Linked DNA regions of Caenorhabditis elegans. The protein of the gene in region 2 purifies or fractionates together with the protein of the main gene of each other region. This does not show direct contact. Each region holds a gene or a part of one and is shown on either strand. Other genes may lie near its edges. The genes, in order: men-1, mpc-1, cox-4 and ndab-1.

What was found.
Region 1: the proteins of mpc-1 (region 2) and men-1 fractionate together in Caenorhabditis elegans (co-fractionation; one large-scale study listed by BioGRID). This does not show direct contact.
Region 3: the proteins of mpc-1 (region 2) and cox-4 fractionate together in Caenorhabditis elegans (co-fractionation; one large-scale study listed by BioGRID). This does not show direct contact.
Region 4: the proteins of mpc-1 (region 2) and ndab-1 fractionate together in Caenorhabditis elegans (co-fractionation; one large-scale study listed by BioGRID). This does not show direct contact.

Annotation. Positions count from the first base shown.
Region 1 is NC_003280.10:14,226,221-14,237,270, forward strand, and holds men-1 (Malic enzyme), read right to left. Parts: upstream 7,636-11,050; 5' UTR 7,584-7,635; coding exon 7,558-7,583; intron 6,057-7,557; coding exon 5,155-6,056; intron 4,148-5,154; coding exon 3,684-4,147; intron 2,451-3,683; coding exon 2,118-2,450; intron 509-2,117; coding exon 371-508; 3' UTR 157-370; downstream 1-156. Other genes in the region: Y48B6A.13 (Diphosphomevalonate decarboxylase), read right to left, coding at 1-39; jmjd-2 (Lysine-specific demethylase 4), read right to left, coding at 9,074-9,235, 10,651-11,050.
Region 2 is NC_003281.10:4,409,651-4,416,793, reverse strand, and holds mpc-1 (putative mitochondrial pyruvate carrier 1), read right to left. Parts: upstream 3,338-7,143; coding exon 3,197-3,337; intron 2,610-3,196; exon of another isoform or gene 2,508-2,609; intron 2,479-2,507; coding exon 2,332-2,478; intron 2,284-2,331; coding exon 2,158-2,283; 3' UTR 2,046-2,157; downstream 1-2,045. Other genes in the region: pdcd-2 (MYND-type domain-containing protein), read left to right, coding at 1-84, 477-771, 822-1,196; R07E5.11 (Intraflagellar transport protein 46 homolog), read left to right, coding at 1,568-1,690, 1,736-1,954; gpch-1 (G patch domain-containing protein 1 homolog), read right to left, coding at 4,680-5,532, 5,784-6,311, 6,527-7,058.
Region 3 is NC_003279.8:13,655,533-13,662,442, forward strand, and holds cox-4 (Cytochrome c oxidase subunit 4), read right to left. Parts: upstream 3,597-6,910; 5' UTR 3,580-3,596; coding exon 3,448-3,579; intron 3,397-3,447; coding exon 3,267-3,396; intron 3,216-3,266; coding exon 2,950-3,215; 3' UTR 2,639-2,949; downstream 1-2,638. Other genes in the region: sac-2 (SAC domain-containing protein), read left to right, coding at 648-1,027, 1,706-2,270, 2,317-2,607; W09C5.12 (Leucine Rich repeat-containing domain protein), read right to left, coding at 6,341-6,583, 6,627-6,770.
Region 4 is NC_003281.10:11,914,653-11,917,271, forward strand, and holds ndab-1 (Acyl carrier protein), read right to left. Parts: upstream 1,061-2,619; 5' UTR 1,059-1,060; coding exon 915-1,058; intron 859-914; coding exon 601-858; 3' UTR 501-600; downstream 1-500. Other genes in the region: Nuclear pore complex protein npp-16, read left to right, coding at 1,283-1,420, 1,478-2,034, 2,255-2,619.

The DNA.
Region 1 (11,050 bases), on a different chromosome or scaffold from region 2:
CGTCGCCTCCGCCTCCGCTGCTCCATCGTCTTGGCTCATTCTGGTGGCAAAAAATCTGAAAAATTGCTGGAAAACGGAGTGACCAAAAAAAGCGGCAAAAATCTGGAAATCCAACAGGAACAAAAAAAAACTGGAAAAATGCCCTAACAAGCTAAATTTACATGTAAATTTATATAATTAAATTTTTGTATAATCTAAAAATCCATAGGATTATGCTATACACGTAGACATTAAGAACTTTGTGAAAAAAAAATGAATTTTTAGGGGTAAAAAGGTAAAATAGGGTGTATTTACGCGGGAAAGAGAGATGGAGAGAGAGACTAGAGAAAAATGCGAAAAAAATTGGGAAAAAAAACGATAAAATAAAAGATTATTCCTCGTCCATCGAGGTTCTTCTCAACACTGGAACCGGGAAACCGTGTTTCGAATCCTTGGCTGGCCATTCGTAAGTCTTATTGATCAGCTCATCATACTCAACACTGTACAGGTTCTGGCGAATGAACATTTCCTGGAAAAATTCAAATTTTTTATAAATTTAAAACTGAAAAAAAAGCACAAACTTTTAACCAATTTTACGAAATTTTTTAACAAATTTTTTGAGAAATTGCTAGTTAAAAATTAATTAAAAATTCTCAAAAAATCCCAAAATTTTTGACAATTTTTTAGGGGAAAATTGCGTTTTTTAACTTCTCATTTTCCTTTTTTTTGAGATTTTTTTCGGAAATTTCGGGTTAAAAATTGAAATTTCTCAAAAAATTCCAAAATATTTGAAAAATTTTAAGATTTTTGACAATTTTTAGGGGAAACTATTATTTTTAGAATCAATTTTTCACTTTTATTTCCAAGTTCAAGGTCAAAAAAATCGAAATTTTCAAAAAATTAAAATTTCCCAAAAAAAAAAAGAAGCAAAATTTCTCTTTAAAAAATTGAAATTTCCAGAAAAATCCGAAATTTCCCGAAATTTCCCGACATTTTCAACCCGAAATTCAGAATCAGCATACTTTAATTAACAATTTTCAGCTCATTTAAACGAAATATCGTAGAATCCGGTGCCAAGTACGCAAACACCGAAGCTCTGCGTACTTCTGAGGCTACAGTAACCCGGAAATTTTCAAAATTGAGCTAGAGACTCCAAAAAAAAGACGACTAGGGGCGAAATTTTACGAGGAACTCGAATTTTGCAGTGTCGATTAATCTGCGGCTCGTGTGTACTCCCCGAGGAGAAGTTTGCGTTGTTTTTGCAAGGAAATTCACGTTTTAGGCTAAAAGTAGTCCATTTTTGCTGATTTTTTGATTTTTAACGATTTAAATCACCTAATTTATTGATTTTTTAAAGTTTTTAGTGAAAATAAATGAATTTACTGCTGAAAATGCACTAGAAACCAGAAAAATCGTACTTTCACCGGAAAAAAACCTATGAAAATGAGCAATTCGAATAGTAAATTCGGAAATTCTCCTCGGGGAGTACACGAACCGCGTAAATCGACACACGGTCATATTTTTGCATTCGAAAAAAAATGTGAAAAATTATATTTTCAGCAGTTTTTTTCGGAAAAATCGTCAGAAATAAGTAGAATTTTTCAATTTTAGGCATAAAATTGTCTAAAAATCATTTTTGAAGGTATTTTTCAAAATTTTTTCATGTTTTTCAGCTAAAAATGCTTTTTTCCATGAAAAATTATTCTTTTCCTCGAGGAGTACACGACTCGCGTAAATCGGTACACGGCCATTTTTTGCATTAAAAAGTGAGGAAAATCAATTTTTTCGGGTGGGGAAAAGTCTTTTTTTGTCATTTTTAAAAATGTTTTTCATCCATTTTTCATGTTTTTTCAGCTTGAAATGCTAGGAAAATCGAAATTTTCCCGATTTTTTCCAAATTTCCACTCAAAAAATTGCTTTTCTCTCCGAGGAGTACACGATTCGCGTAAATCGACACATGGCCATTTTTTGCATTAAAAAGTGAGGAAAATCACTTTTTTTCGGGGAAAAGTTTTTTTTTTTGGTATTTTTCAACAGTTTTTCATGTTTTTTTCAGCAAAAAATGTCTAAAAATTGCAGGAAAATCGAAATTTTCCGACGTTTTTTTTTTTCAAATTTCCACTCAAAAACAACCGCACCATATCATCGGGTTTCGGGTGCAAAGTGGCCAAATCGTGTCGATAACAATACTCGCCAACTTCTACGGCAATTTTCACCGAAAGTTCTCGAATATCCTTCAGACGTGGATATACACGTGAATACGTGTTCAACGACTTCTCCGATACGGCTTCGGCGACCATACGGGCGGCCAGAAGGAACAGCTTGTCCGGAATGTTTTTGGTACGGAAGAGGACGGCTCCGAGAGCAACACCCGGGAAGATGTAGGCGTTGTTTCCCTGTCCTGGCTTATAGAGTTTTCCATTCATTTCGACATTTTCGAACGGGGATCCGGAGGCGAAGAGGACGGCTCCCTGCAAAAATTGGGTATTTTTGGAGGGAAAAATAACTGATTTTTCAGATTTTTCATTGAAAAATGATTTTTAAGATTAAAAATTGACATTTTTCCAAATTTTTCCATAGAAAATTAATTTTAATTCCATTTAAAATCATTTTTCCACGAAAGAGCTGAAAAATATAAATTTTTATTAAATTCTAAAATCATTTTTTCAACTAAAAATCTAAAAAGAATAAATTTTAAAATTGACATTTTCCACAATTTTCTTCGAAAAAATTAACTTACAATTGGAAGAAATTGTACCTTTTTAAAGATTTTTCTGTTAAAAAACAAAATTTAATTCAATTTAAAATCATTTTTCCGTAAAAAATCTGAAAAAACGACGCAACTTTAAATTATAAAATTGACTTCAATAAATTAAAAACTAAAACATTATTTTAAAATGATTTTTTTTTAATTAAAATTGGCATTTTCCAGATTTTTTAAAGAAAAATAAATTTAAAATATTCTCTTTGCCGTGGAAAATATTAATTTTCAATTAAAAAAGGTTAATTTTTGATTTATAAAGTCACTTTTTAAAAGGTAAATCTGAAAAAAAACGGTCAATTTTTGAATTTCAAAATAATTTTTCCATGAAAAATCAAGCGAAAATTGGCAAATTCTACATTTCTCAACTAAAAAAGTGCAGATTTTCTCCATATTTTTCCAGTTTTTTTTTCCAATTTTCGTTATTATTTTTATTACTATTTAAAAATTACTTTTTTCCCAGATTTTTCATTTAAAACCGCTCTAAATTCTAAAAATTGATATATATTTTAGATTTTAAAATTTAAATTTTCAGATTTCCAGATTTCTCTTTGAAAAGCGACTTTAAAATTACTATTTTTCAGGTTTTTCATTGAAAAATGGCTCTAAATTGTAAAAATTGAGATTTTTTAAGTTTTTTATTTGAAAAAAAAAACATTTTTTCATGGAAAATCTGAAAAAAAAACGGTTAATTTTTAACACAAAAAGTCCGGAAAATTATACATTTGGATTTAAAAATTTTTGATTTTTTTTCCATGAAAAAGCTGGAAAATAATAATTTTTAACTAACTTTTCATTGGAAAAATCTGAAAAACGGCGAATTTTTGAATTTAAAAATTCACTTTTCCATGAAAAATGCAGTAAATTCAGCTCAAAAAATCTGAAAAATTCAGATTTTCTCCATATTTTTCCAGTTTTTTCTCTAAATTTACATATCCCGTACATTTGTGCAGCGATAAGCCGTCTCCGCAGTGCATTCTGCTTTACTTGTAGGGTTGGACAGTGCAAAAATGATTGGCCTCGGGTTCAGCCGAGCCATTTCCTTAATAATATCCTCCGTAAATGCTCCAGCCACCGTAGATGCTCCGATGAGTGCTCCAGGCTTGACAGTCTTCACAACTTCCAGCAGATTCTTGGTATCCGGAAGATCTTTAGCGAATTTCACATGTCTCTCGCCAAGAGATTTACTACGAGACGTCGTGATGAGTCCTTCAATATCAACCATATAAATCCGACCGCAAGCTTCTTCCTCCGACAATCCCTCGTCCATCATCTGTCGGACACACATTTCGGCGACTCCGGTGGCGGCTCCACCGGCTCCGAGGAAGACGATCCGTTCCTGGGAGAGCTTCTTCTTGGTGATACGAGTTGAGGCGAGCAGGCCGGCGACGACGACAGCGGCGGTACCTGGAAATTTGCAAAAAAATTTTTTTTACAAAATTTATTTCTAACTATTTTTTAATTTTTTTTTTTAATCAAAAATTTCAAATCTGAAATCTGAAAACAAAAGAACTTTTAATTTTTAATTTTTAAAACTATTTTTTAAAGACCTTTTTTTTTTGTTTCCTATTTTATATTGAAAAAATCCAAATTTCCTGGGAAACTATTATTTTTAGAATCAATTTTTCACTTTTATTTCCAAGTTCAAGGTCAAAAAAATCGAAATTTTCAAAAAATTAAAATTTCCCAAAAAAAAAAAGAAGCAAAATTTCTCTTTAAAAAATTGAAATTTCCAGAAAAATCCGAAATTTCCCGAAATTTTCCGACATTTTCAACCCGAAATTCAGAATCAGCATACTTTAATTAACAATTTTCAGCTCATTTAAACGAAATATCGTAGAATCCGGTGCCAAGTACGCAAACACCGAAGCTCTGCGTACTTCTGAGGCTACAGTAACCCGGAAATTTTCAAAATTGAGCTAGAGACTCCAAAATAATTACATGGCTAGGGGTAAAGAAATTTTACGGAAAACTTTTACGGCGGAATTTTGCAGTTAAAATATAAAGTTATAAAGGAATATATCCCCTCAAATTTGCTTCACTATTTTTTTGAAACTCCAAAATTCGAGTTTCCCGTGAAACTTCACCCCGGGCTGTACTTTTTTTTTCGAGTTACTAGCTCAATTTTGAAAATATCCGGGTTACTGTAGCCCCGAAAGTACGCAGCGCTTCGGTGTTTGCGTACCAGACACCAGATTCTACGAGATTTCTTCGTCTAAATGAGCTGAAAATTGGCGCACAGGGCAATAAAAGTATGCTGATTCTGAATTTCATATTTGAAAACAGTGAAAATTCAGATTTTTTTTGAAAAATTTCGGCCAAAATGCAATTTTTTTTCTCAAATGTGCATTTTAAAGCCTTTTTCTCCGATTTTTTCGCTTTTTTTCCTCAATTTCCCCCCTGCCAAATTCTACCTTGAATATCATCATTAAACATGCAATATTCTCCCTTATACCGATCCAACAACCGATACGCATTCTGATTTCCAAAATCTTCAAATTGAATCAGCGTATCCCGTCCGAACCGCTTCGTGGCCGCCTTCATAAAATTATCGACGAGCGTATCGTATTCGGGACCTCTAACACGCTTTCTACGGAGCCCCGTGTAGAATGGATCGTTGAGCAGCTCGCTGTTATCAGTTCCCACGTCGAGAATCACCGGGAGACACCATTCCGGGCGAATCCCTGCGAGCGCAACGTAGAGTGCAAGTTTTCCAACGGGAATTCCGATTCCATAGGTTCCCAGGTCGCCGAGGCCGAGGATCCGCTCTCCGTCAGTGATCACAATTGCTCGGACGTTCTCTGTCGGCCAATTTGCAAGAATCTGATGGATTTTACTAATACTATTATCATTAATAGTAATGTAGAGACCCTTTGGGTTACGGTAGATGAATCCGAAATGCTGACAGGCTTGTCCTACGGTAGGAGTGTACACAATTGGCATGAGCTCCTTCACATTATCGCAGAGCACTCGGTAGTAGAGCTTCTCGTTACGATCCTGCAACGAGTCCAATTGAATGTACTTGGCAAGGTTGTCAGGTTGCTGGCGGAGTTTTGTGATGATACGGTAGGCTTGTTGCTCTTCGGTCATAAATGCGGGTGGCAGAAGCCCGTGAACTCCGAGATATTGACGTTCGTGGAGGGAAAAAGCCATTCCCTTATTGAGCCCGGGCGACTTGAGCAGGTCGATTCCTCGCTTCTGGGGTGTGGTGCGTTCCGGGCGGTAGAGCTTGTGAAGGGCCAGAGTTTTGGGATCGGAGAGATCCGGCTCGTTTTTGTCGCTCAGGCATCGTGTTGATGTGGAGAGACGGCGGATGCTGGAAATTTGGGGATTTTTGGTTTTTCATTGAAAAAAATGGCAAAAATTCAGATTTTCCCGGAGAAACCCATTTAAAATGACCGAAATTCAAATTTTTCGGAAAAAAAAATCCATAAATAATGGCTAAAAATTCAGATTTTCATGGAAAAAATTTATTTAAAATCGTTAAAATTCAGATTTTCCAGAAAAAAAACTATTTAAAATGGCTAAAAAGTAGATTTTCACGGAAAAATGTATTCGAAATGGCTGAAACTCAGATTTTTCTGGGAAAATGCCATTAAAACGGCTAAATTTCAAATTTTCCGGAAAAAAATCCATAAAAAATGACTAAATATTCAGATTTTCCCGGAAAAATCCATTTAAAAGGCTGAAAATCGGATTTTTTGGAAAAAATTTTTTTTAATGACTAAAACAGTAGATTTTCACGGAAAAAATGTATTTGAAATGGCTGAAACTCAAATTTTTTAAATATAAAAAATGGCTAAAAATCAAGCTTTCCCAGAAAAATCAATTAAAAACGGCTGAAATTCAGATTTTCTCCGAAAAAAATTCATGAAAAATGGCTAAAAATCGGATTTTCTCGGAAAAAATCCCTTAAAAACGGCTGTAATTCAGTTTTTTCCAAAAAAAAATCCATTGAAAATAGCGAAAATTCAGATTTCTCCTGGAAAAACTCATTCAAACGGCTCAAATTGAGACTTTTTCCCGGAAAAATACATTAAAAATAGCGAAAAATCTGTTTTTCCAGAAAAAAAACTATTTATAATGACTAAAACTCAGATTTTTCCGAAAAAAAATTGATTACAAATGGCTTAAAATCAGATTTTCCAGGAAAAAATGCATAAAAAATGGCGGAAAATTCATTTTAAAAATGTTGAAATTTTAGATTTTCCCGGAAAAAATCCATTAAAAATTGGCTGAAATTCAGATTTTTTCGGAAAAATCCACCAACTGCGGCTAAAAATCAGATTTTTCTGGAATAAAACCATAAAAAATGTCAAAAATTCATTCAAAATGCCAGAAATACAGACTTTTTCGGAAAAAAATCTAGTAAAATGGCTGAAATGCAGATTTTCCCGGAGAAAACCATTTAAAATGGCTGAAGTTCAGATTTTTTTAGAAAAAATAAATTTAAAATGATTAAAACTCAGATTTTCCAAGAAAAATTGGGCAAAATCGCAGAAAAATCGCAGAAATTGAAATTTTCATAGGTTTTTATCGAAAAAATCTACAAATTTTTTAAATACTCGTCAAAATTCGTAGACTTTTTCAACGAAAACCTGTAAAAATTTCAATTTCTGCAATTTCTCGCAGAAAAATCGATATTTTACGCATTTTTGCCGAGACCATCTGAATTTCACCCATTTTTCATAAATTTTTTCCGAGAAAAGCAGAATTTCAGCCGTTTTAAATGGATTTTTCCGGGAAAATCTGAATTTTTAGTCATTTTTAATACATTTCTCGAATTTCAGCTAATTTCAACGCAAAATCCTCCCTACCTGGCAGGCGAAAGACGGCTCAGCATTTTTCGTGATTCCCGCACGGTTGTGAAACCCAAGAGCAAATGAGAATTGATTCTGAAATGAGACGGAAAAATGTAAAATTTCGATAAAAACTTTTTTTTTTGAAACACGTGAAATAAAAACGGTGACAATTGATAAGAAAAATGAGTGCATTTTATCAATTTTTATTCAGAAAAAATTATGGAAAACCTGAAAATTCGGGAAAACTCGCGGTGAAACTGGAGAGACAATTGCCTGAGAAGCCACAAATGGGGGCGCCCGTCGTCTATCGATCCACGTATTCTTTCGGGATAAACTATGTGCGAGAGATCTGCACTCAGCGGAGAGACGCAGGGAGAAAAAGAAAACAAAAACACGGGCGGAACTCTTTTCTTGAAAAAATGAATTTTTATTTCAAAAAGTAAGATGGAAAATCGTTTTTCCTTCGAGTGGCGGCGAAATGAGTGCTTGGGGGAGCAAGTATGCGGTGAGAGGAGGGAAGAGGGAGAAAAAGCGAGAAAAATGATGTTTTCCCGTGTTTTTTTCTTGTTTATAGCGATATTTTTCGATCAAGGTGGCCTTGTCATCGAATTAGCCGTGATCTTTGGGGTTTTAATTGGAAGAAACAGATATTTTAATGCGATTTTTTGAATTTTCCACAAAAAATAAAGAAATTAGTTTATTTTTCCTCTCGAAAACCGACAAAAACTCAAGAAAATAACGAAAATCAATGAAAAAAATAAAGAAAAATTGTCGTCAAATGTGGCGCATTGGCCGCAAAGTACGCAGTTGCCGTGTCAATTCACCGGCGCCAATTCGAATTTTGAAAGGTTTTTTCATTAAAAAATAGCTTTTTAAAGAGAATTTCTGGATTTTGAACTGTTTTTTCATTAAAAATAGCTTTTTAAAGAGAATTTCTGGATTTTGAAAGGTTTTTTCATTAAAAAACAGCTTTGAAAAGAGAATTTCTGGATTTTGAAAGGTTTTTTCATTAAAAAACAGTTTTTTAAAGAGAATTTCTGGATTTTGAACGAGTTTTCCGGTTATTTTCAATATTTTCCCACTCCCAACGCAGCTGTCAGCTCAACACGTGTTCACAGGAAGTCAACAAATCGGATAAAGTGATCTTTGGCCAATTTTTCTGATTTTTCGACGGAATTATTTGATAAGAATGCGATTAGTGTGTTGGCATTTGGAAAAAAAAAGGTTTATTAGATAAATTGATCAATTTCGGGGAAAACATTTAAAAGTTTCTGCAAAATAATAGGGAAAAATAGCGAAAAATATTTAAATGACAAAAAAATACAGAAAAAAAACAGAAAAACAGGGATAATTAGAGATTCTTCGACTTTTCGTACAAAAAAAAACTGGGGGGAAAAGAGGCGCAGAGATCACATATTTGAGGGTAGACGGGCGGGAAAGAGAGAATATATTACATTTTGACAAGAATTTTTTGTCAGGGACTATTTAATAGTAAATTTTAAAAAATCGAATATTTATTTATTTATTAAAGCTATTTTTTGAGATACGCGTTCAGTTCTCGCTTCGTTTTCAGCCTGTTCCGTGGATGGCGGACTTCTCGGCCATCTTCCAGTCGGACCGTGTACTCGATCATCTGTCCTTTTCCACGGAAGTACGCGTCGTAGACTTGCTTGTCGTCCCACACTACTTTTACCTGCAAAACAAATTGGGGAATTTATTGATTTTTTTGGGGGTTTTTAGGACTTTTTTATAGTATTTCCGGGCTTTTTCTTTATTTATAATTTATTTAAAAAAACAGGAAAACCCATTAAAAATGACTAGAAGACTTGAGTTTTCCCTAGAAAAATCGTGATTTTAAAGGGGAAAATCTGAATTTCGGCTGTTTATAATGAATTTTTCCCGAAAAATCTGAAATATTCAGCTGAATTTTAGCTATTTAAAAACAATATTTTCGAAAAAAAAAATCGGATTATTAGCAATTTTAAACAGATTTTATCGGGAAAACCTGAATATGAGCCATTTTTAATACATTTTTACAATTTTTTTGTAAAAATCTGCACAATTTATAGTTTTTTTTTCGGTTTTGGCCTGAAAAACTATAAATAAGACGATTTGTGTGTTAAAATACCGAAAAGAATTGCCCGAAATTGAGGATTTTATCGAAAACCTTGTCCTCGAGGACTACACGAGCTCTTTAACTCCAAAATTCGAGTTCTCCGTGAAATTTCACCCCTGGCTGTACTTTTTTGGAGGCTTTAGCCCAATTTTGAAATTTTCTCGGTTACTGTAGCGCCAAAAGTACGCAACGCCGCGGTGTTTGCGTACCAGGCACCAGATTTGACGACATTTTGTTTAAATCAGCTGAAAATTGGTTCACAGGGCAATAAAATCACGCTGATTCTGAATTTCGTATTGAAAATGAGAAAAATTCGATTTTAAACACTAAAAATTGTATTTTCGGCGTTAAAAAATCGGAATTTTCCACATTTCGATTAATTTTCCAACATTTTTAATATGAAAATCAGAATCAGCATGATTTTTTAGCCCCGTACTTCATTTTTCAGCTCATTTAGACGAAATTCCGTAGAATCTGGTGCCAGGTACGCAAACACCAAGGCGCTGCGTACTTTCGGGGCTACAGTAACCCGGAATTGTGAAAATTGAGCTAGAGACTGCAAAAAAGTACAGCCAGGGGTGAAATTTCAAGAGGAACTCGAATTTTGCAGCAAAAATCATCGAAAATTTGAGGAAATTGACGATTTTTTTTGAAAATTTCAATTTCCTGGTGGAAAATCAATATTCCCCAGCATTTTTAATATAAAATTCAGAATCAGCGTACCTTTATTGCCCTGTGAATTAATTATGAGCCAATTTAGACGCAATTTCGTCAGATTTGGTGCCAGGTACGCAAACACCATTGCGCTGCGTACTTTCGGGGCTACAGTAACCCGAAAATTTTCAAAATTGACCTACAGACTCGAAAAAAGTACAGCCAGGTGTGAAATTTCACGGAAAACTCGAATTTTGCAGTTAAAATACCGTTTTAATGGTAAAATGTATGGTGGGAAGTTCAAATTTTTCAAATTTTTTGTTGCAAGATATACTCACTCTCGCCCCATACTGATGATCTCCGTTCTCACAGAACAGGCATTCACACGAGATGATATCCTCCACGTGATTATCACGACTACAGCTATTATCAAGGAAGTCAACGACAACGGTCTCCTTCTTATCAGCTCGTACGATGGCTCCTCTCGTGAACAATTTCTGCGGCGGCTCCACCACGTCCTCCACAAATACAAAATCGCCGACTTTCACGTTAGTATAGGCCTGCTGCTGCGTCGTCTTATTCACGAGATACGAGTGCTCGTGCTTATGACAGATCATCACAACGCCACGTGGATAGTCACGAACTTCACACACAAATCCAACACGGCGAGCACACGTGACATGAGCCAGTGTTGGAAGCGATGTGGTCGCCTGCTCCTCAATACAGAGCACACACGGA
Region 2 (7,143 bases):
ACGTGCACCGGCTGATGGACCCGGATTGTGTCGAATCTGTGGATGTTCCGCTGCGAAAAAATGTGCCAAGTGCCAAGTGGCGAGGTGAGAGAAGTTACCCATACGAAAAATGTTGCGTCCAGAATAAAAAATTCTCCGTTAAATGCAAAAAGGCGTGTGCCTACTCTAATTAGTACTCTAATTAGGCTTATAATTCCAAAATTTTCTTGCTGCGGAATTTTTATTGACTTTTAATATTTCTTCTCTCGAATATAATTATTTTGTTAAAGTTTAAAAAAATTAATACAAATATCTTCGGAAAACTTTGGAAAATCTATGAAAATTCAGCAAATTTATAATTACAGTACCCCTTAAAGGCGCTCACATTTTTGTGCATTTAACAAAAATTTGTCGTATCGAGACCAGTTACAGTATTTCTGGCCGGAAAGACGAAATTCTGGTAAATTTTGTTCACACCTTATATGTCACAATTTCAGATATTGCTCTCAAGCTCATCAAGTCATCGACTGGCCTGCTCACAAGCTCGAATGTGCTAAAGCGGCAACAGATGGCTCCATAACGGATGAACCGAAAAATCCAAGAAATGCGTTTTGTTTCAAAGAATTCGGTGTAGAAATTGATCAGGAATATATGCCAGCAAATCTGTTTGACGGACTTAGTGATGATGAAGGCGATGAGGAAGAGGAAGAAGGAAATGATGAGGATGAGACTGAAGAGGAGAAGAAAGCAAGAATCAGAGAATTTGAGAAATTTGTCAAGGAGAACAAAGGGGTTAGTTTGACGCCGGAAAAAACAATTAAATTTCTCAATTCCTTTTTCAGAAAAACGCTGACATGACAAAGGAAGATTTGGATGAAGCCACCGCCGAGCAACCAAAAGATATCGATTTTGATAAATTCAACCGTCTTGTCAATTTGCAACCCGATCAGATTATTAGATACAAGAGATACGGACAGCCACTCCGTGCAACTGGCCTTTCTGAATTGCCAGAAGTTGTGGAACCATGTGAACTTTGTGGAGCTCCTCGTCGTTTCGAAATGCAGCTTATGCCACATCTCTTGTCGCTCATCGATGTAGATGCTATTGGTCAATCTATCGACTGGGCTTCCGTGTACGTGTACACTTGCTCCGCGAGTTGCCAGATCGCTGATGATGGTTATGCGAAGGAATTTGTCGCCAAGCAAGATTTCCTTTAATTTTTTTCCTCGTTATTTCTCTTGTTCGCAATTTGTTGTTTTTCTTGTTTGTGTTGTTCTAATAAATTTTGCATTTTTTTAAATGTTTATTATTAAAAAGATTGGTGAGAAACGCCGGTTATGTATCTGAAAATTGTAATTTTTCAAAAATGGAATCAGCTTAAATGAATTATTTTTTGCAGTATTTCGATAACTAAACTCGATAAAATGAAAGAAAATAGAATTTGATTTGAAAATCACGAAATTTCGCCGCACGGTTAGATTTTTAACTATTTTTCATCAATTTTTCAATTTTCCTCGATTTTATCGAGTTTACTTATGAAAATCTTCAAACAAGACTTGAAGAAATTCGTATTTTACAGCTTATTTCAATGGAAAAAGATGCTCAAGCAGGTGAACCAGAAGAAGAAGAAGTCGATGATGAGCTGTCAAGTACAGACTTGTACGAAGATTCTATGGCTGAAGTGACATTGAATGAGACACGCGGAGGACATGTTAGTTGGAATCGTCCACTGTACTCGCATAAAAAAATGTTTTAGGACTCTGATCCATTCGATCGAAGTGGTGAATATGATGAAGACGTCGATCTTGCCGCACCTCCTCCAATCACTCCGGATATTCCAGAAATCCCTGCAGATGTGCTGATTTCGCTGAAAAATCGTGCAGAAGGAACTGCCATCGATCTCAAAAATCTCAAAAATCCATTTGACGATTCTCAAAAAGTGGATGAATCCGAAGTTGAAGCTCCATTAAAATAATGATTCTCCCTGTGAATGTTGACATCTAGTCGAGTCGCTAGTTACGGTTTTCTTCGAACACCTATTTTTGCTTTACATTTTCAGTTCATATCATAAATTTATTTTTATTTAACTTATTCTTTCTAAAATTCCCTAGAAATTCGAAAAAAGGATACCATAAAAAGAGCGAAACCCGCTAAAAATTATATATTTAATCAAATTGCTCAATGTGCCTTGCTGATCACTTCCGCATCGTGTTCGTGCTCCAAAACCTCCTTTTTCATCATCAATTTATGGTGGACGGGATCTTCAACGTAGTGCAGATAGTTGTGGTTCACAAATCGACCGAGCTGAAAAAATTAAAAATTATCAACTGGAGCTGCTGTTATGGAGTATACCTGAGCTCCTTGAGCACTGAAGTTGGCAAAATGGCAAGCGAAGAGCAAAAGATTTCGTGGTTGAACGTGCCACGCGAATCTCATGAAAACACTCGAGTAGATCAGAAGAGCTGACGTCATTGGTCCACTGATCATGTCAGGATTTTTCTGCAAAAAAAATTATAGAAAATTTCACAAAAAATTTGGAACGCTTCACGAATTTGCGTGTCATCCTTGCGCAGGGGCCATGCTAATCTTCTCTGTATTGTTCCAATTTTAGTATATGTTCTCGGAAGAACAAGACATCTCGCAATAGGAGGTGTTTATATAGGGGGGACACAAGAGGCGGCAGACATCTCGTGAGTTTGACAGAGTAGTATAAAGAGTGTGTGTGAGAGGGTGTAGGCATTTCATAACATATTTTTTGTGGAATAATTTTGGAAAAAAGGTGTTTTTTTAATAATAGCTTTTATAAGAGTTTCTCAAAAATTGCATGCTTTTTTTGAAAAGGTTGACAAATTATAGTAGTACTAAAGTTGCTATTTTCAGGTCTCAGCAGAAAATTCACAACTAAAAATAAAATTTGCAAAACAGAGTGTGCGCCTTTAAGGTGTACAGTTTTTTATTCCTTTATTGCTAGTTTTTTTTGTTAAATTTTTGGGAAAATATATTTTATTTCATGTGAAAAAAATTGATTAACCTGCAAAATTTAGAAAAGCAAGAAAACATAATTACGACTACTGTTCTTTTTAAAGGCACACACATTTTCAGCACTTATTAAAAAAACCAAATCTGGCTATGGATTAAAAGCGCTTTTCAATTTTTAAACACCCAATACAAAAGTAACGTTTTTTCACCCTAACTTGTCTCTAAAAAATGCAGTTACCTTCAAATCTCCAAGAGCAGCCAACGGAAGTCCCCAGTTAGCCACTGGTCCCCAAAAATGAGTTGACAAGAAGTAATGCTTCCATTCGGCGGTGGAATGTTGCTTGAAATATGTCGTCACTTTTGATATAACTCGAGACATCTGGAAATATGAATTTTTAGGTTTTAAGCTTTTTAAAAATATGTTCGAAAATGTTCATTTCGCTGAAATCGCGTGAGAAATCAAGAAAAAACGTCCGATATATATTTGGGTTTGATAAGGAACAAAAAGTGATAAGCAATCAAATCAGTATTTTTGTTCAATGATGATAAAATAAGGAAAACCCTCTGTAGAGAATTAGAGAAAAATGGATGAGAGAACGAAAATAAATAATTGTTTTTGTCAGTGGCTAAAAGATGATATTGATCTTTTTGGTTCCATTAGAAGGTTTAATTTTGATTTTTCAGAAATTGTCTTTAGGTTTTAAATTCAAAAAAAAATTGAAGCATGGCCGTTAAATTATGAGACTTTTGCTCCAAAAATACTATACCGGGTCTCGACACGACTAATTTCTGTTGAATGAATCGGCTTTTCATAGCTTTTCGATAAAAATATGTTTTCAAATTAAAAATTGAGGTAAAACAATAAAAACAGAAAAATTCGAAGAAATAATGAGATCTCATTATTTGTTGGATTTGAGAAAACAATGAAACATTTTTTAAAACTCAAAAAACAAAAGTTTGAGAATACAGTACTCTTTAAAGGCGCACACCTAATCCCACTCAACAAAATCTTCGTGGCAAGACAACGTGTCGATTTACGAAGCTCGTGTACTCCTCGAGGAAAACTGTGTGCATTAATTTATCGCGGATAGCTTTGTTTTTAGCCAATAAACTTGATTTTTAACCATTTTCGCTAATTGTTTTATGTATAAAACATTAATTTACCAATTTATCCCACATTTATAGTATTTCATGTAAAAAACCAATGCGTTTACTGCTGAAAACTACAAAAAAACTAGAAATTGTAGTTTTTCAGCATTAAAATTTGTTGGGTTTTTTTTCTAATTAATTTTTCTAATTTTTCAAATTAAAAAAGGTTTTTCAAATGCAATTCAAAAAATGTTTCTAAAGGTGCCGGTTAATATTTGCAGACTGAAAAAATGGAAAACAAATTGTACTAATTTTTAACAGAGAAAGCATCTGAAAAACTAAAATCTTTGAAAAATTGAAATTGAAAACTCATTTCTGCTCGAAAAATGTGACCTCAGTGCACGAGTTCGCAGGAACCAAACCTCACAATCCTTGAGAGAATAGAAAGCGAGAGAAATAGAGAACGAGAGATGCAGACAATTTAACTGGGGACAAATAGCCACACGGGAGGAGAAGGATAGTTCAGACATCACTTTGAGAAATTTTATGTTTCATTTTTACAAGTCGAAACCATAGTAATATATGATAATAAATAAATAAATAAAAAAAATTAACAAAATGTTTAATTCAGATTATTTCTTCTCCTCCCATCCATCGGAATTATCACCGGAATCGTCGGCACTAGACGAAGAATGTTTCCTCTTTGTCTTCTTTTCTTTCTTGCTCTTTTTTGATTTTTTCGATTTCTTCTTCTTTTCCTTCTCCTTCTTATCCTTTTTCTTTTTCTTCATATTCTTTTCTAAAAGTTTCAGTACTTCCGTTTTTGAAAGAACTGGTTTTGAAGATGGAGGAAGAGCTGGACCAAATGAAGATGCAGAAGTTTCATCAATAATCTGAATATCATCATCTTCCTGTTGCTTTGAAACTCTCAGCAAATCCCTATTTTCTAATTCTTTTAATTCTTTTTCCACTCGTTTTCTGTTCTCCTCCTCTTTCTTCTCAACTATTTCCCTTCTTCTTTTCAAATCCTCTTCTCTTTTTTTCAGAATCTCTTGCCGTTCCTTCTCTTCAGCTTCTTCATCTTCACTATTACTCTCATCTGAGTCTGCACCGTCTCCATCTCCAAAAATGAAATCAAAAAACGATTTTGGAGCTTTGTCTACCTTCTGATTGTTAGGCTCGGCTTCATTTTCCTCTTCTTCATCAGAATCCTTATCATCATATTCTTTCTCATCGTCATCATCTGATTGATTTCTTTTTTTCTCTTCTGCTCCTCTCTGAGCTCTCGATTTCAGAAGTCGCTCCCTCATTTCAATTTCATTTGCAGTGTTCGGAAGTCCCAACGTTGCCGAGACTCCACCAATATCTGCTAATCGATCTTTCCGCTTCCAATCAGTCTTCTGAAGAGCTGGAACTCCGACAGTGTCTGATCCAGGATATGGATGGGGAACATTGAATCGTTTAGCGAGAAGATTGTCAGGATACCTGAAAATTTAAAAATTTCTACATTTTTCAAAGGGACTAAATGGCTAAAACTAGCCCTAAACAAAAAAATTTCATAATAAGAATTCTCAGAAAATTTCTAAAAAAAGAGCCAAATATTGTAAAATCCGAATATTCGTCATCTTGATCTTGTTGCAGCACATACATTTTTTTGCCTTTTTTCGAAATTGTTTTTTGAGAAATCTCATTATGAAATTCGGTCGTTTTAGATGATTCTCAATTTAGAAACATACCAATCAAAGCTTTGCCTCGTTTTTTCTCCAAACATTTCCATTTTCACAGCGGCTAATTTATCCTCATCCTTCGTTCCAACTTTCAAATCACCGCCAGCTTCTTTCACAAATTTCGAAGCCATCATTTCATGAATCGGCGCTGCTATGGCAGTTTTTGCAAGTGGCTGAGCCCTGGATTGTACTTCTGGAAGCATTCCCCGTTCGTCAGATGTCAATTTTGACTCGAATTCTTTCTTTTCCCACTCCCACTCCCAGACAGTCAGATCAGTGGGCTGAGGGTACGGTAGACCACGTCGAATATAATGAAGAAACTCTTTAAATCGAGCTTGTCGCATAGGCTCATCAGGGAATTCAATTCGATTCCGTTGTCGTCGATCCCGATCTTCTTCTGCTTCACCACCACCACGCTCATTATCACGTTTTTCGACTTCATTTGCCTTGATATCCCATCGACTTCTTCGTTCTGTCGGTTTTTTGGAACTTTTGCCTCCAATTTCAAGTGCATTCACGCGATCTTCACCAAGGAATCTGAAATAAATAAAGTTCAACAAAAATATTCTAAAATTGACCGAAATTTAATGATGAGAATGGCCAAAAAAATGTTCCAAATAATTTTCAGGTCAAAATTCTCGGAAAAAGCTGAATCGATTTACGTTTTAAAAACCCGTAAACTCAAACTTTAGCAAATTTCGGAAAACAAAAAAAAGCGAAAAAATATGAATTATTGTTAATTTAAATCATACTTTGCTCTTTGCTCCGCATTCATATGTTTTACATCATTCTTCATCATTTGTGGAAGTTTCGAGATATCCATTGGAATCGGACGATGATCGCCTCGAAAATTCGGCGGAACTCTTGGAGGAGCATAGAATTTTCTTGGATTAAGCCTCTTTGGCTGTAATTCAAATGCAGTAACCAATTTCTGTGTTTTCAAATTACTCTCTTCTGATGCTCCAGCTACATCCAATGAAAAATCAAATTGCGAGAGATCATAATTCGAATAAACACTTTCATCTTCTTCTTCAAATGCTCCAACTCCGAATGCTTGTCCTTTTATTCCTTTGCTATTTTTCTTTCCGGATTTCAAAGCCAAAGTTGTTCTACCGTATGACTCATTAAGTACAGTAGTCTTACGAAGACCTTGATATCCTATTCCATGAGTTCCAGTTAATGGGGTCAGTTGTTTGACAAGAGCATCTTCATTCGAAAATTCGTACGCTGGAGCCACCTTTGAAGCTTGCTCGCGGTCGAATTGGGCTTCCGACGACTCGCCGCCTGGAAAAATTAATTTTTTTTGAAGGAATTGATTATTTGGTTAAAGGAGGATTAATCGATAAAAATCTTGGTTTCTTGGACTCAA
Region 3 (6,910 bases), on a different chromosome or scaffold from region 2:
CATTTTTTCTAAAATCAAGTTTTTTTGACAGAAAAAATAACAAATTTTGCTGGAAAAATCGATTTTTGTTCTAAAAACCTGAAACTTTTCATTATAGAAGGCTCTATTTTCAAAAAGTAAGCGTTGTAGTTTGAGTGAGGCTAACACTACAAACTACACAGATTTTGGGAGCCTCACCCAAAGTTTTTCTAGAGTGTCTTTGAAACAGAAAATCGTATTTATAAACTAAAAAAATGAGTATTAAATCGTTTTCCGAGTTAAAAACTTCCGAAAATCACTGAAAATATTGGTTGAGGCTCACACTACAAACTACAGAATCTTGTAGCCTCACCCAAATTTTCTCCCCAAAAATCGATTTTTGTTCTAAAAACCTGAAACTTTCAAAATTTCTTCAAGATTGCTAACTTTCTAGAGTCACTTTGAAACAGTAAGTCGTATTTTTAGACAAAAAAAAGTATTTCTGCCCGAGAAAAATGAGTATTAAATAGTTTTCATATTGGTTGAGGCTCACACTACAAACTACAGAATCTTGTAGCCTCACCCAAATTTTGTAGTTTGTAGTCTCTCAGCCTCAACCAAATGTCAATTTCCGCCTCAAATGTTAATTTTTAAAACATTTTTTTTCTAAAAAACGTTCCAAATTCCAGCTCCAAACGCTTATCTCCTCAATGGAAGAAACACTGAAAACCATTGGCTTCTGCTGGGTCGACAAAACCGGAGAAGTGGTTCAATCCCAAAAAGGCGTCGTCCGAACCAACTGTATCGACTGTCTGGACCGAACGAATCTTGTTCAGGGCCAAATCTCCCTGTTTGTAGTGTTACAGCAGGCTCAACGCCTCGGAATCTTCGGACCGCTGTGCGAACCGCCCGAAGTGCTCGTACAGACGATGCAAACGATGTGGGCTGATAATGGAGATGTGATATCGACGCAATACGCCGGAACCGCCGCGCTGAAGGGAGATGTGACGAGGAATGGAGAGCGGAAGCTGATGGGGGTCATGAAAGATGGATATAATAGTGCATCGAGGTACGGGAAGCTAGAAAAAATGGCGAAAATTCGATTAAAATCGACTTGGTTGAGGCTCACACTACAAACTACAGAATTCTGACAGCCTCAACCAGAAAATTAGTTTTGGGTGAGGCTAACACTACAAACTACACTCTTTGTGAGCCTCACCAAAGTTGATCATAAGTTATTTTTTTCGAATTTTTCGGTAAAAAATCACATTTTTTTCCTTGAATCGAGTATTTTTGAAAGAAAAAATAACAAATTTGGCTGGAAAAATCGATTTTTGTTCTAAAAACCTGAAACTTTAAACTAAAAAAAGTATTTCTGCCCTAAAAAAATAAGCATTAAATAGTTTTCCGAGTTAAAAACACCAGAAAATCACTAGGAATATTGGTTGAGGCTCACACTACAAACTACAGAATCTCGTAGCCTCAACCAAGTCTCTGCCTCAACCAAATATCAATTTCCGCCTCAAATGTTCATTTTCAATACACTTTTTTACAATTCAAGAAAATAAAAAAGCACAAAATTCACACTACAAACTACAGAATCTTGTAGCCTCACCCAAATTTTGTAGTTTGTAGTCTCTCATCCTCAACCGAATGTCAATTTCCGCCTCAAATGTTCATTTTCAATACATTTTTTCTAATTCAAAAACATTCTCACACTACAAACTACACAATTTTCCGTTTTCAGATACTACCTAACACACACCAAAGATGCTCAACGCCAAAAAGCCATCAATATAGTGACAGGACAAACGGAAGCCGACGAAAATGCAGAAGAAGAGGAAAATGAGAAGGAAGAAGAAGAGAATATCAGTCGAATGGTGACTGAAACCATACAATTCCTGGTTCCAACCCAGCAAACTGTCATCGCTGGCTGGGGATTGATTAACGCATTCCAAAGTAGCGATGAAATCGACACAGTCGTCATATTAACCCGCTCCAATTTGTATATTGTAACCTATGAAATCGATGGAGAAAAGATGACTGATGTGCAAATCGTTGCGCTGGAAGATATCAATACTATTCAAACAGGAACATCTGGAAATAATCGACAATGTGCTCGACTGGAAACTCTCGAAGGTGTATTCATTTGGAGGCCATCTACTGTTCGGTTATTTAATAATACTGCAATCCGTCTGAAATCCTTGGAAGAAGCCAATGAGTATATTTCGTCGGTCGCTGAGCAGATTCAGGTTGGCAGGAATATGCTGACTGGCGCTGAAGGTTCAGTTGTTCCGGTGGCAAAGATTACGGTTTGGGTGGCTTGAGATTTTCAAAATCTAGAATTAGAAGTTTCAGATCCCTCAAATGTCGGTTCATAGAAAATCGATGGCTGCGATGGGTGCACTGTTCGGGAAGATCAAGCGAGTTGGGAAGCCATCCAGTCTATCGAAAAGTGCTTCCACAATTTCAACTGCTCAACTTCCAGAAACCGATGGAAACGAATCGGACGCATCGCAAAAATCGGATCACTTAATGACGAAAATCCTGAAAATGTCACAATTTAAATCAGATTCTCCCCAACCCGAACCATTTTCCTCGCTACTACCCGCTATCTCCGAGTGTCAAACTAAAATTTCACTTTTGTAAAGAAATAAATAAATTATTGCCTCCTGGATTTAACAGCAACATTCAATCTATTTATTTCTGGTTTACAGGGCAGCCCATCTCTCAAGAAGCCGAACCACTTGGAAAATTTGAAGAAAAAATTGGGGGAGACGAAAGAATTGGTCAGTGCGTTCGACCGCTAGGAGAGATTTACAGCTTATCTAGGTTTCAGATGAGGGTTGGGGCGATGAAGAAGAAGGTAAGCTTGAATGTTTGACGAGAGAGTGATGGGGCGGGGGGAGCGACGACAACCAAGAGAGAATTATAAAAACGAGAAAGAAGCTACAAAAAAATTTTATTTTATTTCTGCTGAATCTCTATATTTTACTTCCACTTCTTGTTCTCGTAATCGTAGTGTGTCGGTGCACCGAGGAATTGTCCCTTCTCGAGCACAAGCGCACGCTCAACCTGAGCCTCCTTGTACTCGTTCTGGAAGGTTGGCGGCAGTTCTGGGTACACGCAGACGTTGAGAAGAACAGCATAATAGGTGCAAAGTCCGAGCACGGAGAGGATAACGGCGGAGATCACCTTCCAGTATCCGGTTGGAGCCTCGAATTCGGACAGCGTTTGACGGAAGCTGTAGCGGTACACTGAAAACTTAGCAACATTTTCAAGTTTGTCGAGGAAAATTGAATACTAACAGAGCTTCTTCTCCTCAGCAGACAAGTTCTTCCAGTCGGCTTGCTCCTTGGCGCGAATTGGGGCAATCACACTGTCCTCCTTGCGGAATCGAATAGCTGGATACCAGTAGTCGAGACGATCTTGGTAGATCTGAAAAATAAATTAATTAAATTTAAAATTTATAAAATAAACAAGGCGTACGTTATCTCCATTTGCTCCGTATCCGACGAGCTCGCGTCCAGCGGCCTTATCGGGTCCCCAGTAGAATTCCTGTCCTCCGGACAGACGGGCGGTGGTGTGCACTGCGCGGAGAGCCAAACGTGGCAGCATCATTTGACGAGCCAACATACCTGAAATAAATAACTGGTTTATGGGTTGAAAATGCAGGAAAAACCAAAAAACAAAAGGTAAATCCGGCGTCAGTGTGGAGAAATGAAAAAAACATACTCAAATGAACTATTTTCATAATAAAAATGAATTTCTAAAGTAATTTCTAAAGTGGCCGACGGAAAACACCGATGGAAACGTGGAAGAGGATAGTTTTAGTCAGAAACGAACAAACAACAGAACACACGGGTGCAATATATTAATAATCAAAAACCGTTCTCTCTTCGTGTTTTAAGGATTAAACTAGCCGGAATACGAACAAACGATGGAAATATGTGGTTCCTTTTAATTTTTGCATAAAACTTGGCAAAATCTCCAGAAAAATCAATAAATTGGCAATGTAACAACGGCTCGCCGTTGCGGGCTGTTCACTCCGTAAATCGTGTTGACTGAGTAATCAACGTTTTACACGCGTTCAAGTACGCAGCCAATTGAGTCCAATAGAGCGCTCTTGCTTTTTGAATCTTTTGGGTGAAAAATTGAGAAAAACTTTTTATAAAAAAATTTATAAGCTCAGGCTTTGGATTTTCGCTTTTTGCGTCGAAAAATCGCCTCTACGGTGCTGGAATTAATAATCGGTGGGATTTTCGCAGGAAATTCTCTGGAAAAATCGATAAATTGGCGATTTTGGCCCAAAAACTCTGAAAAACGCTGGATTTTTCTGAAAAAGGGCTTTAAATTTGTCAAGATGAGCGGAAGAATCTGAAAAATCGATTAAAAAACTCAAGAAACTGGAAAAAAATCGAAAAAATCAGTTTTATTGCGTTTTTAAATGAGTTTTCCCAAAAAAATTGGAAAAAATACGATTTTTCATTGAAAAATTGAATAAAAATACAAAAATTAGGGGGTTTCTCATTATTTTTCCGAAAAATCGATAAAACGTTGCCAAAAAGCTTCAAAAAGCAGATTTTTAGCAGTTTTTCACTGAAAATCCTCAAAAATCCCGACTTTTCCGAGAAAAAACAACGAAAATTCGATAATTTCTTCCCAAAACCCTTTTTTTCTAATTTCTCACAGAAAATTCTCAAAATTTAAAAATCTACCTATTTTAAACAATTTTTCTGAAAAATTTGAGAAATTTCATGTTTTTCGCCAAAAAAAAGCCATTTTTTTACGAAAAAGTGCTCTAAAAAATCGATTTTTCAGCGAAAAATCAAAAAAAAAACAGCTGTTTTTATTGATTTTTTTTCCCTAATAATTGTAAAAAATACCAAAAAACCCTCAAAAATCACGAATTTAGCTTCCAGATCGGTGGCCAATTGACGAATATCAACAAATATCAGGATTATTATATATCCGCAAAGAAAATCAATATTCCCGGCGACGAAATTCTCGAGATTTCGTCCGGTAGAGCGCACTCGCTGATTCGAACCAATTTGGGCGTTTTTGCGATTGGTGATAATAATTTTGGGCAATGTGGACGGAATCCTGAGAATATGGATTATGTTGTGGGCTCTGAAGGTACAATATTTGGGATTTTTAGCTAAAACTAAGGCTTTTAGGCTTTTAGAGCAGCTTTTAGACCCCAAAAAAGCTGAAAATCGAGCTCAGCGTAGTTTTTTACCCCAACACTGCAACTTTTTCCTCACGAGGGACGAGGAAAAGTGGTTTCTAGGCCATGGCCGAGGGGCCGACAAGTTTCAGCGGCCATTTATCTTGCTTTTTTTCCGCGTGTTTTCTTTCGTTTTTCACAGCTTTTTCCCGTTTTTTCTTAATAAAACTGATAAATAAATATTTTTTGCAGATGCTAAAACAATTTCCAAGTAAAAAAATCATGTATTCAGTGGGCAAGCAGCGGTGAAAGTGGGCATTGTAATATGATGGATTACGGGAATACAAAACCTAAACTTTTTCTGAAACATGATACATATGCTGCTTAAATGCTGAGACTACCTGATTTTCATAACGAGACCGCTGAAAAAGTCGAGATTTTCGCACAAAAAGTTGAATTTTGGAAACCTCAAAACTTTTTCAGCGGTCTCGTTATGAAAATCAGGTAATGTCAGCATCTAAGCATCATATGTATCATGTTTGGGAAAAAGTTTGGGTTTTGTATTCCCGTAATCCATCATATTGCATTGACCACTTTCACGCTGCTTGCCGACTGAAAACATAATTTTTTTACTTGGAAATTGTTTTAGCATCTGCAAAAAGTATTTATTTATCAGTTTTAATAAGAAAAAACGGGAAAAAACTTTTCCTCGTCCCTCGTGAGGAAAAAGTTGCAGTGTACTAATTCAGATCTTCGTCAGACTCGAAATTTTGATGAAACGTGCGGATATCGAGTAATACTACAATCCAACGGATAAAAAATCGAAGAAGTGTTCCTCTATTCGAATTTTGAAGCAGTTGAAGTAGATATTGAAATCTTTTACTATACAACGAGAAAATTGTGAAATCAATTGATGTGGGAGATCTGAAGATCGGAAAAATTTAAGATTATACAATTAAAAAAACGAGGAATGAAAAAATGATAATTTTAAGAGGGGCAAATTAATCGAGCTTCTACTCTTGAAAATATCCGCCCCGATCTCCGCGTCCACCGCGTCCTCCGCGTCCAATACGCATCCCATCAGGCCCACGAGGCTCATCTCGATTGAGAATCAAGATCTCGGCTTCAACGTCGGCTCTACGGAACTCGTTAACCTCGAGATTGGGCTGCAGCAGTACTTGAAATACTCGGGCTGCATTTTCCTGTGGAGTCCTATCATCGATAAGTGTGCAATGGATTGTCAAAGAAGCCAGATTGGGGAACTCTCGGAGGGGAATGATTCGATCGATTGAGTGGATTGTAGTTCAGTGTCAATGTCGTCAACGATGGGCAGCTGGTCCTAAGTTGCTCAAAATCCGCTTCTCTAAGATTGTTTGAGGAAGCATCGAGAACTTGAACACGCTCAAAAACATTCATTCCTCGGAATGTTGCGATTTTGACGTTCGAAATTTCCAGTGACTAAAAATACCATGTTTGATTTAACGGTGCCTAGACAACTCACTGTGATGTTTGGATGACCGGGTAAGTCTTGTATGTTGCCAGATACAGCATTCCGAATAACCAGGTCTTCGACATTTTCGAAGTTGAACCCATTTTGTTCGTAGAGCTTTTTTTGCTCTAAGTAACGATCGAGAATCGACTCCATCAGAAGGACTGACGTGGTCTCTAAAAGACTGGTAGATTTTTATGCGATCTCTTAACAAACAATCGTATTTTTCAAGAGAATGTATACAAAATCAATGAGAATTGACGTTGGAAGTATGAAAAACAACTGAAGCCAAATTG
Region 4 (2,619 bases), 7.5 Mb from region 2:
TTTTCTTGATTTTTTTTGTTAAAAACTGATTCAAATCGGTTTGTATAGATTGTCGACCTGAAAAAAAAACATAATTCGACAGAAAAACACCTATAAAATTTGCTAAAATGTAAACAAAAACACTTTTTTTAAAATTGTAATGAAAAAATTGTTCTAAATCAGTTTTTTTTGCTCAAAAATTTGTGATTTTTCTGTTTTTTGAACTGAAAAACGAAAAAAACTGGTTTAAATCAATTTTTAACAAGAAAAAATAACGAAATTCGCTGCAAAAACGTTTTTTTTTTTAGTTTTCTCATTAAAAATTTGTGTTTCTCCTGTTTTTCGACTTGAAAAACAAATTTCAACAAAAAAAAAGAAAGAAAAACGCCAAAATTCTGGAAAAATGCACTAAAAAAGCGGCTACCATAAACTTTCGCGTCGAGACCCCTAAATCTGTGCGCCTTTGAGAAAAGTATATCAGAAAGAAATTAACTTTTTATCAACGCGAAAATTATTAAATGAATTTCAAACTTTTATTTTTGAAAAAAAATCCGAAAAACAAAAAAAAATGATAATAGAAAATATTTCTACTGCAGCTAAAAAGATAAAGAAATACAAAAATTATTCGAAAACGTCTTCCTTGTCGGCGATGTACTGGAAGATGTCGCGTGGCGTCTTGAAGCGATCCGCATCTCCGTCGGGAATCTCGAATCCAAACTCTTCCTCCATCGCCATCACAACTTCTACGTGATCCAGAGAGTCGAGGCCGAGATCTTTCGAGAAATCCGAGTCCATTGTGAGCTTCTTCGCGTCGATTTTGTCGTAGAGTGAGAGAACCAACACAATTCGCTCCTCGAGTGTCTTTTTGGTCAGTGGAGCCTGGAAAATGTTGTTTTCTTTTTGCGAAAAAATATTTTTTTTTTGTTAATTCCCACCTTTGCAGAGTATTGTCTGATTTGGAAGCTTGGTTTCTGTGCGGAGAGGAGTATTGGGGTGATGACTCGTTGTTGGACGGACGCATTGCTCAGTGCACGCACTGAAACAGTGCGGAGAGCAGCGGAAACGGCGACTCGCAACATTTCTGAACAAATAAATAATTAATAATAATTTTTCGAACCGAAATTCGAAAAAAATTTGACGGGAAATCGGGAAATGACTCATCGAGCCTGAAAAATAAGTGAAAAATAAAAAGAAACGCCCGCAAGCGTCGTCGGGTTTGATGCCGAGTACGCAAACACCGTCACGTCACATTGCACAGTCTTGCGAATTCAAATTAAAAAACAGATTTTCGTTCAGATTCGTGATGAATTCCCTAATTCCACCGCCAACTTCTGAGCAACAAATGAACATGTTCCGGCTCCGCGACAAAATGAGCCTCCTGAATGCAGAATTTCTCAAAGTCATCAACGGATATTTCACGGAAAAGAATCATTATGATTTTGTAAGTTTAAGGTTTAAAACCTTTTTTTTATGTCTAATTAAAGATCTAATCTTTCAGTCTGGAACTATGAAATCATATATGGATCATGTGGCACAGCTCAAGCAGATTTATAAGGTCGATGATGACGTTGCAGCCGATATGACAGTGCCCAGACGAACCGAAAACTCGTCTGAAAGTTCTGGAGAAACAGTTGCTCCGCGGAAAATAGCCAAAGCTGTGCGGAAGAATGGAACGCCAAAAAATCCGCTGAATTCTACAGTTTTCGCTGCCTCGAGCCCGGCGGCGACAGTCGCGTCTGTGCCCAAGTTTGGCGACATTTCAGTGATAACCAAGGAAACGCCAGCTCCACTCGCAAAAACCGCAGAGCCACTCGTTGCTCCAGCAGCTCCAGCGACCGCCCGAAAACGCGCGATTCGTGGCGGAGGACCTCTCGGTGGAGCTGAATCAGTGGTTTTCAAATCGGGCGAAGACGGACAAGCCGCCACGTCGAGTGTGAAGATTCCGGCTACGACGATCAAATTTCCGGAGCCCACCAAGGATTTCTGGACGAAAAAGTCTGATGCGCCGGCGGCTCCGAGTAATTCAGGCTCACTTTTCGCATTTTTGGGAAAAGAGTTAGTATATATATAATCGAAATTGGAAAAAATTCATTAAAATTGAATTTTCTAACATTTTGCCACATAAAAAATAGCATTTTCGTGGTGAGAATGCTACATTTTACGCTGAAAAATTGTTTTTTCCAACTAGAAATCGAAAATGTCGGCTTTTTTGCAAAAATAGCAATTTCAGACTATTTTCTATTAAAAAAAACCCACCAATATATCAAAATTTCAGTGGCGACAAGCCGAAGGAAACTCCAAAATTCAGTGGATTCTCGTTCGGAAAGAAGCCCGCCGAGCCTTCCGAAGAGCCAAAAGCTGCGGATTCCACACCAAAATTGACATTTGGCTCACCAAAAGAAGCAGATTTGCCGAAACCAGCTAGCTCTCTATTCGGAGCCAGTCCTTCTAAGCCTCTGGTGTTCGGAGGAAGCTCCGCAGACTCTACCACATCGGCTCCAAAACCTTTCTCGGCTCTTTCCACGGCAGCTTCATTATTTGGATCAAGCTCTGCCTCCACCACCACCACCGCCACTCAACCATTATCATTTGGCTCAAGCTCCACTGGAGGCTCAAGCCTTTTCAGCGGATTCGCTGGTC